2 linked regions of the Sus scrofa genome follow. The protein of the gene in region 2 purifies or fractionates together with the protein of the main gene of each other region. This does not show direct contact. Links are inferred from orthologs where the notes say so. Each region holds a gene or a part of one and is shown on either strand. Other genes may lie near its edges. The genes, in order: CDC42BPB and LURAP1.

The links.
Region 1: the proteins of LURAP1 (region 2) and CDC42BPB purify together in Homo sapiens (co-immunoprecipitation; 3 studies listed by BioGRID and IntAct, with this or other methods). This does not show direct contact. The link is inferred for Sus scrofa from reciprocal best matches to the Homo sapiens genes LURAP1 and CDC42BPB.

Annotation. Positions count from the first base shown.
Region 1 is NW_018084979.1:1,749,149-1,753,661, forward strand, and holds the start of CDC42BPB (serine/threonine-protein kinase MRCK beta), read right to left. Parts: upstream 2,974-4,513; 5' UTR 2,882-2,973; coding exon 2,707-2,881; intron 1-2,706. UniProt on the Homo sapiens protein: Serine/threonine-protein kinase which is an important downstream effector of CDC42 and plays a role in the regulation of cytoskeleton reorganization and cell migration. Regulates actin cytoskeletal reorganization via phosphorylation of PPP1R12C and MYL9/MLC2.
Region 2 is NC_010448.4:165,205,111-165,209,429, reverse strand, and holds the start of LURAP1 (leucine rich adaptor protein 1), read left to right. Parts: upstream 1-1,238; 5' UTR 1,239-1,748; coding exon 1,749-1,946; intron 1,947-4,319. UniProt on the Homo sapiens protein: Acts as an activator of the canonical NF-kappa-B pathway and drive the production of pro-inflammatory cytokines. Promotes the antigen (Ag)-presenting and priming function of dendritic cells via the canonical NF-kappa-B pathway.

The sequences.
Region 1 (4,513 bases), on a different chromosome or scaffold from region 2:
AATAACCGGGCATTCCAAGAAACACTAAATGATGACCACACACCACCTAACTGATAACACCCACGGGGGAGTTACGACGGTACAGAGGTTAAGGTACACGAGATTAAATACCGCTTCTGCAATGCCTTACGATAAAACTAAAAAAAAAAAAAAAACTTTCTTAAAAGCGAAAAAAGTAAATAAAAATAAAGTACATTACTACTCCATGAAAATGCCACCTTAAATTAGAGTCCATTCTCCTTCTGCGTAATTTTAAGTTTACGCCTCTGTACAGACTGAATTCCTAGGATAACATAATTTTTTTGTAATTGTAATTTCCAAAAAGCCAGAATACAATTTTCAAGACATTTCTTTTTCTTGCTTTTTAGGGCTGCACCCATGGCATGTGGAGGGTCCCAGACTAGGGGTCGAATTGGAGCTACAGCCGCCAGCCGACACCACAGCCACAGCAAGGCCAGATCCGAGCCGCAGCTGGGACTATGCCACAGCTACACCAACTCCAGGTCCTTTAACTTGCTGCACCAGGCCAGGGATGGAACTCACACCTCTGCAGTAGGAATCTTTTGGGGTTTTTTTGGTCTTTTTTAGGGGCTGTACCCGTGGCATATGGAAGTTCCCAGGCTGAGTCGAATCAGAGCTGCAGCCTCTGGCCTACACCACAGCCACAGCCACGCCAGATTCAAGCAAAGTCTGTGACCTACACCACAGCTCATGGCAACACCAGATCCTTAACCCACTTAGTGAGGCCAGTGATCGAACCTGCATCCTCATGGATGCTAGTCAGATTCATTAACTGCTAAGCCACAACGGAAACTCCCCAAATATTTTTCTATCATAGCACGCGGCTTCTGTTTGGACTTGGAAAAGCCAAATCTCTAAGCGACGGCTCCGCCGTGCTGAGAGGCGCTTCCTCCAGGGAAGCCCACCATCCCTGGTACCATCTGGTGGTGAGGGTGTCGCACAAGGACCACAGGCCCCCAGGGGGCCCAGCTTTTAGGACACCCACCCAATGAGCACCGCACAGAACCCAGGCCACAGGCCGCTGGACCCCACCTTACCTGCTAACACAACCGCCCCTCTGCAGCCTCCTCACAGTCACACCTTTACACACACACCAAGCACTGAGCTGAACATGGCTGTGAAAATGTCTCAATTTCAAGACCAGATGTGAAATTGGATTGTGATAATCATTATACAACTACAGATGTGATAAATTCCTTGAATAATAAAATAAAAGGTCAAATGCTCAGCAAGGAATGGCCAATTCAACATTCAGCAGGCTCCGACGCAACAGGCACCCAAGGCTCCATCTTCAACAATTGCTGATCATTCCGCTGGAAATCACGTCGCCGACCCCAGAAAGTGAGTAGCATCCTTACTTTATTGATACCGCATGTAACCTAGAACGGAGAACCCCACCAAAATAAAGCAGAACAGACCGTCCTGGGCCTCTGGGCCTCCTTCAACTGCCCTCACAAGACATCATGCCACTATTTCACTAATGGGCTAAAAAAAGAAGCTCCCTAAAGAACATCACATCTTAAGTAATTCCAATCACCACTTTGGCAGAGTAGATGGCCTCAGTATGGAATACAGCCATTGGTTTCTTCAGGTAAATATCAGCTTTATCAGCCCTTGAGATTAGAAATTACTGGTTCAAACTGAACAGTCCTAGTCCAATGACGCAAATGATGCAAAGGATAAGATTTCCATGGATTTGGCCTGAACCCTGAACATAAGCACTTCATCTTCCTAATCAGTAGTTTCAGGTGAGTCTGAGGGTCCTGACAGGTCGCCTGAGTTAGAGAGTTAAGAGGAGCTTGCTTTACACCTGCAGCTGTTCTTCAGATTCTCAGGATCACTATTAAAGAGCTTTATCAAATTATCGTCCTGGTAAAGTGTTTTAGTTTAGTGGACCAATGACTGCAGCATTTCTAGAATCCTGCTCCAACTAGAGAAAGCATGCAAAAACCGGATGAGTTAAGTTTTTAAGTGACTTCCACATACTAACAATTCCAGCCTCCCCCCCCCATATTACACGGGTCTGGTACGATTACAATGACAAAACTCGATTTGCTCTCACGTGGCGTATTCAAGATAAAGCTCTGAACCCTAAAATACCCTTGGAAGTAGTACAGTAAAAGGGGGGTTGAAGCCCTGGACACCAAGGGGATGCAGACAGGGTGTCACCTAGGAGGGGCGCCCCGGAGATGCGGGGGGGTGGGGGAGGCAGACGCGAAAAGCCGACGCCGCTGCCGCTACAAGCCAGCGGGGGGGGGGGACCTCGACGCTGACTCCGGACCCCAAAGGCGAGGTGCGGGGGCGGGGGCGGATGTCCCTGGGAGAGCTGCAGGAAACGATATCCAGACTCGGAGGGTGGATCTAGGAAGCGGCCGGGGCGCTGGCCCGGCGGAGGTGGGGGTGGGGGTGGGAACGGAGGATGTGGCTCCGAGGGGCAGGATGAGGGGGCGGGACGGCCGAACGCCGAGGTGCGAAGGCCAAGGAGGAGGGCAGGGCGGGACCAGGAGCGGCGAAGGGGCGAGCGCGCAACGGGCGGGCGGAGAGGGCCGGGGCGGCGGGGCTGGGAGCAGTGACGAGGCGGGATGAGCGGAAGCCCGAGGCCCAGGAGGAGGCAGGGCGGGGAGGAGGGAGCCGGGAGGGGGTCGCAGGGGCCGAGGGTCAGGCGGGGGCCCCGCGCGCACTTACCCCACTCGAGGAACTCGGCCACATACTTGTCGCGGCGCAAGGCCGAGTGGCTGCACTCGGTGTACAGGCAGACGAGCACGTCGAGCAGCGTCTCCACGCTCAGGGCGCTCTCGTTGCGCCAGGGCCCGTCCAGGAGCAGCTGCTCCAGCTTCTTGAGCCGCACCTTGGCCGACATGGTGCCGCGCGGCTCGCTCCCCACGCGCCGGCCTCTCGCCGCCCGCTCGGCCAGTCCCTCAGGGCGAGCCCTCGGGGGCCCGGCGGCCGCGAGCCCCGGCAGCCGCGGCGCCTCGTCGCCGCCCCGTCCGCGTCGTCGCGCCCCGGCCTAGGCCGACATCTTGGGCTCGGTCCCGGCGGCGCAGCGTCTGGGGCGCCGGGCCCCGCGGGTCCATGGGCCGGTCTCCTCCCCTCGGCGCCGCCGCCCTCCCCGCGCGACGCGGCCCGCCCTCGCCTCGCCCCCGCCGCGCGCCCCTCGGCCCCGCCCGCGGCCGCGCCCTCGCCGCCCGTCGCCCGCAGGCCACCAGGAGCAGCGCGGAGCCGAGCGCTGCGCAAGCCCGGCCGGCGCCCGAGCCCCGACCCCAGCCCCGACCCGGCGGCCCAGCCCCGCGGCCCGCAGCCAACCAGGGCGCGGCCAGCGCGGGCCCAGCCAACCACGGCCCGGCCGGCCGCCGCCGCGCTGACCTCAGCGCGCCGCCCCGCCCCTGCGCTCCCGGCTCCCGGCTCCCGGCGGGATCGGGCCTCGCCGCTTGCCGTAGCGGGGCCGGGATGCTGGGAAGGCCGGGGCTGGCGGGGCGGAGGGGAGCGACGCCCGGCGGGGCGGGGGCGGGGCAGCGAGGAGCCAGTGCGCTGCCGAGATTGCGGCGCCGGCGCGTGCGCGGAGAGCCCCCGGGCGGCGTGCGCGAGCGCGCGGGGGTCGGCCTGTGTGTGCGGGGCCCGCGCGCCCGCGACCCGGCTCTCTCCGCGCCCCCGACGCTGGAGCCCGAGGCGGCCTCCGGCGTCCCTGGCCTGCCTGGGAGCTTCGCGGCCGGTGGGCCGATGTGAGCGTCGCGGGCTGTCCCGCAGGGGCAGATGTGGTGGCCTGGGCGGCTGGCCTGGCTGTTTTAAAAACTGGGCTCGTCGAGTCTGGGAGCGGCCTTTCGGTAAACGCAGGTCCACCTCTGCCTTGACGGACGGGAGGCTGAGGCCGGGACAAGGCGGAGCTGCTGGAGAGCGGACCCCCACCGTCCAACCTTGCCTCCACGCAGATGCTCTAGGGTACCAGTTTGCTATATGGAGCGGCCTGCCATTGGTCTCCAGGCTGGGTCTGCCCAGCCGGCTCCTGCTGGTTCATTCGTGTGCCTGGAGAAGGAAAGTGATGGAGAATATCGCCCACCCAAACGAGCTCTTGGCGTCGGGAGAGGAGGATCCCACCCAGAACTCGTGGGAGGTCACTAAGGCCATGAGGGGGAGAAACCCGGGGGACTCCTAACTTGGGGAAGAGGGGAGAGAGGGGGCTTCAGTAGAAGCAGGGCAGCTAAGTGGAGCAGATGAGGGACAGATAGGGGTTTGAACACTAAAGGAAACTGTGGCAAAACTACTCTGTGGAGGAGTTCCCCTTGTGGCTCAGCAGCAAGGAACCAGACTAGTATCCATGAGATTTTGGGTTCAATCCCTGGTCCCGCTCAGTGGGTTAAGGATCCGGGTTGCCATGAGCTGCTGTGTAGGTCGCAGATGTGGCTCGGATCTGGCCTGGCTGTGGCGTAAGCCGCAGCTGTAGATCCAATTCGACCCCTAGCCTGAGAACTTCCATATGCTGAAGGTGCAGCCCTAA
Region 2 (4,319 bases):
CTCATGGCAACGTCAGATCCTTAACCCACTGAGCAAGGCCAGGGATCGAACCCGCAACCTCATGGTTCCTAGTTGGATTCATTAACCACTGAGCCATAACAGGAACGCCCAAAGAAAATTTTTTTAATTAAAAGATAAAAAATAGGAGAGTTCCCATGATGGCTCATCAGGTTACCAACCCGATTAATATCCATGAGAATGTGGGTTCAATCCCTGGCCTTGCTCAGTGGGTTAAGGATCCAGCATTGCCATGAACTGTGGTGTAGTTCTCACATGTGGCTGGGCTTCGGTGTTGCTATGGCTGTGGCATAGGCCTGCATGTGCAGGTCCAATTTGACCACTAGCCCAGGAACTTCCATATGCCTCAGGTGTGGCTGTAAGAGAAAATAAATAAATAAATATGTAGGAGTTCCCACTGTGGTGCAGTAGGTTAAGAATCTGACTGCAGTGGCTGTGGTCACTGCAGAGGCATGGGTTTCGATCCCTTGCCTGGCACAGTGGGTTAAAAGATCTAGCATTGAGGCAGCTGCGGCATAGGTCACGGCTGTGTCTCGGATTCAGTCCCTAGCCTGGGAACTTCCATATGCTGCTGATGCAGCCATAATAAATAAATAAGTAAATAACGATAGAAATGTGTGGGACCAATGGAAGAAGGGAAATACAGATTGTGAGGTAAACCCATATTTTTCATAATAGGTAGCAGATCATGTGAAAGTTAAGACATAGTGCTACAAACCTATTTTGGAGTTATGAGTATAAGCACCAGGAAAACATAGCTAAAAGTAATTGCCTCTGGGTAGTGCGACTAGAGGCGGCAAAGAATAGGATGGCGGTAATAGCTATGTTTTCGTTACACATCTTTCTGTAATGATGGGCTTGAATAACTCGGATTGAAAATCAAAATCAAGCTAGAGCATAAAAAGTTTTTTATGGCACCTCATTGCCCGTAGAATAAAATCCACGCACAGAACCATCTTTATAACCTTGTTACTCAAGTGTGGTCCCTGGACCAGCAGCAGGGCCGTCGGCAGGGGGCTTGTTTGAAATGCAGAATCCCAGGCCCCACCCCAGATGGATGGAACAGTTATCTGCATTTTAACAAGATTCACAGAAACTTCACATATGCATAGTCAAGTTTGAGAGGCATCAGTTTTCAAGATCACGATGTAGCCCATCTGGACCCCTTCAGCTTCAATACTGGCTGCCCCTCATTGGCCAGAAGAACTTGACTTTCCACGCTTATAGTCTAAATTTAGTGGCTACACTGGTTTTGTGTGTGCGTGCATCAGTGGGTAGCTAAATTCCTCCACTGTTACAGACTCAGCTCCTCTACTCTAGGAAGCCTTCCAAAACCCTCTGCATCTCTGTTACCACTGTTCCTTAAAATCCCACATCCCTAACTGCAAATGCTTAACCTTCATTCAGCAAACATTCTTTGGGCGCCTGCTGACAACCTGGCTGGACTGAGTGCCAGAGTCGGGAGCAGGCGCTGAGCTCTCCTCCAGGTGCATAAGCAGGATCGCCCAGCCTCACCCATTTCGGAGCCAGCGCGCGCAAACACACGCAATCACACACGCACAAACACACAGAGCTCTGCGCGGCTTTTCTGAGGGTTACGGCGCCCTCCTCCCGCCCCCGCACTGAGCGGGCGGGGACCCACTGGTTCCGTACTAGCGGCCGAGGAAGGAGGACCCCCAGGAGCGGGATCCCGGCTCCGGTCGCCCATCCCTGTGCAGCCTTAGACCCGCATGGAGGGGACTGCGGAGTCCCAGACGCCTGACCTTCGAGACGTGGAGGGCAAGGTGGGCAGGAAGACCCCCGAAGGGCTGCTGCGCGGGCTGCGAGGCGAGTGGGAGCCGGGCACCTCTGGCGCCCTGCTGCTCCCAGGGGCGCCCAGCACCGGCCACGGCCTGGGGGACAAGATCATGGCGCTGAGGACGGAGCTGGTGAGTGTGGGCTCCATGGGCCAGGGGGCCGGAGACCCTAGCATGGGGCTGGGAGGGATGGACTCGCGCTCTCGGAGTTGGGCTGGAGAGGAGGGAGTTAAAACTCCCCGCCCAACTCCTCAGGATTCCGACCTAATCAATCTTTAAACCCTGGGGTCCTTTGAACGCCTTCCCCACCTAGGGTGGGTGGGGTGTTCGTGGGTCCTGAGGAATCAGGATGGGAGGTGCCGGTTTTTCTAAGTTTTTTTTTTTTTTTCCTGCCAAATAATTGGGAGGGAGAGGAGGGGACGGGGAAGCCCTGAGAACCTGGCGCAGCACAGATCTCCCGCTCCCCCTGACTTGGAGGCCACCTCTCCCGGCCTAGCCACCATTACAGGGCGACCAGTTTTTTCTCCTTCTGCAGACTGGGCCCAGGGTTTGTTCCTCTCAGGCCCCAGTATCCACCACAAGATTTCGCACAGAAGCGATATGGGTGAAAACTGCCTGGACTAGGGCCACTAAAAACATCCTCTTTCCTCAACACCCCCCCGCCCCCCCGCACCCACTTAAAATATTCAAAAGTTCCTAGAACCTTAGCAGACACACAGGAGCAGCGCCAGCAGTGTTGGTCCCATCACTTCTTCCTTTTTTTTTTTGGCTTTTCTAGGGCTGCACCTGAGGCATACGGAGGTTCCCAGGCTAGGGGTCCCATCACTTCTGACACAGTCTCCTTCCTGCCAACCCCCAAGTACACTGGATATTTGCATCTCATCTGAGGAGAAGCGAAAGAAGCAGGTACCCAAACTCCCCTTTCCTGTTGCTGCTCATCTAGATTCAGAGCCAAAAGGGCAGTTGGGCACACACTCCCCAGGCTCCCTGGTTCCGGGGAAGGGGGTGATTTACACCTGCCACCACTTTGCAGCCAATTCTGGGGAACTGAGGAATTGCCAGCCACTTTCTGGCCCAGAAACAGGAACCCACAGTAAATATGTCAGCGGACAGGTCTTCCTGGAGCCCTACTGTGTGCCCAGCTCTGTGCCAGGCTGAACTGTGGAGCGTGGGGAGAGGGTGGAAATGGAGGCTCCCTGACAACCTCAGAGGCTGGGAGGAGAGCTTTGTGGGCAAAGTAATCAGGGAAGGCTTCCTGGGGGAAGGGTTTGAATGCCCTGTGTCTACTTGGCCTGGAAGGTTGGAGCAATTGTTAAATTCTCCAGAGTAGGGCTGTAATTGTGCTGATCCAAGCGAGGGGTCCAGCTTTGTCTCGCTGTGCAAACTTTAGCTCAAGGCCTAGAAAGAGCTTACTCAGAGTGTCTTGCTCTGGAAACTGACTTCACCAAGTACAAGTGCCAGGCATCGTGTTGAGCATGTTACGAGTCCTCACAGCAGTTTATTAGGTAGATGGTATATTACAGATGAAGAAACTGAGGTACAGGGAGTTCCCTGGTGGCTCAGCGGGTTAAGGATCCAGTGTTGTCATTGCTATGGCTCTTGTAGCTGCTGTGGCTTGAGTTTGATCCCTGGGCCTGGAACTTCTGCATGTGCCCCCCCCCAAAAAAAGAAAGAAATTGAGGTGTAGGAGTTCCCATCACGGCGCAGTGGGTAATGAATCTGACAAGGAACCATGAGGTTGCAGGTTCGATCCCTGGTCTCGCTCAGTGGGATAAGGATCCGGCGTTGCCGTGAGCTGTGGTGTAGGTCGCAGACATGGCTGAGATCTGGCGTGGCTGTGGCTCTAGTGTAGGCTGGTGGCTACAGCTCCGATTAGACCCCTAGCCTGGAAAACTCTATATGCCGCAGGAGCAGCCCTAGAAAAAGCAAAAGACAAAAAAAAAAGAAAAGAAAAAGAAATTGAGGTATAGAGTCATACAAAAAGTGAAAAGCAGAACCAGGCTTTGAACCCAAATGATCTGCCTTTGCTTTACAGCTTCGCCATTGAGACCTGCTTCGCACCAGACACATGAAACGTTTTTTGCTGTCATTAGAGTTAGAAAAGCAATCATCATTTTCCCGTCTCACAGAGGAAGCACGCTTACACAAGTTAAGCATGCTTGCCTGCGCTGACAGTGGGAGCCAGGGAGTAGCCATGCCTAGTCTCTCTGGCTCTCTTTTCTGCCTTTGGAGATTATTGTTTATAAACTTTAAGGAGTACATTTAACTTTTTTTTTTTTTTTTTTAATGGCCACATCTGCAGCATATGGACGTTCCCAGGCCAGGGACTGAATTCCAGCCACAGCTGTGACCTACACTGCAACTGTGGCAACAATGGAGCCTTTAACCCACTGCCCCAGGCCGGGAATTGAACCCCCGCCTCCGCAGTGACCCAAGCTGCTGCAATCATTCTTAACACCCTGCACCATAGTGGGAACTCCAAAGCGGGTACGTTTAACTTCTGTT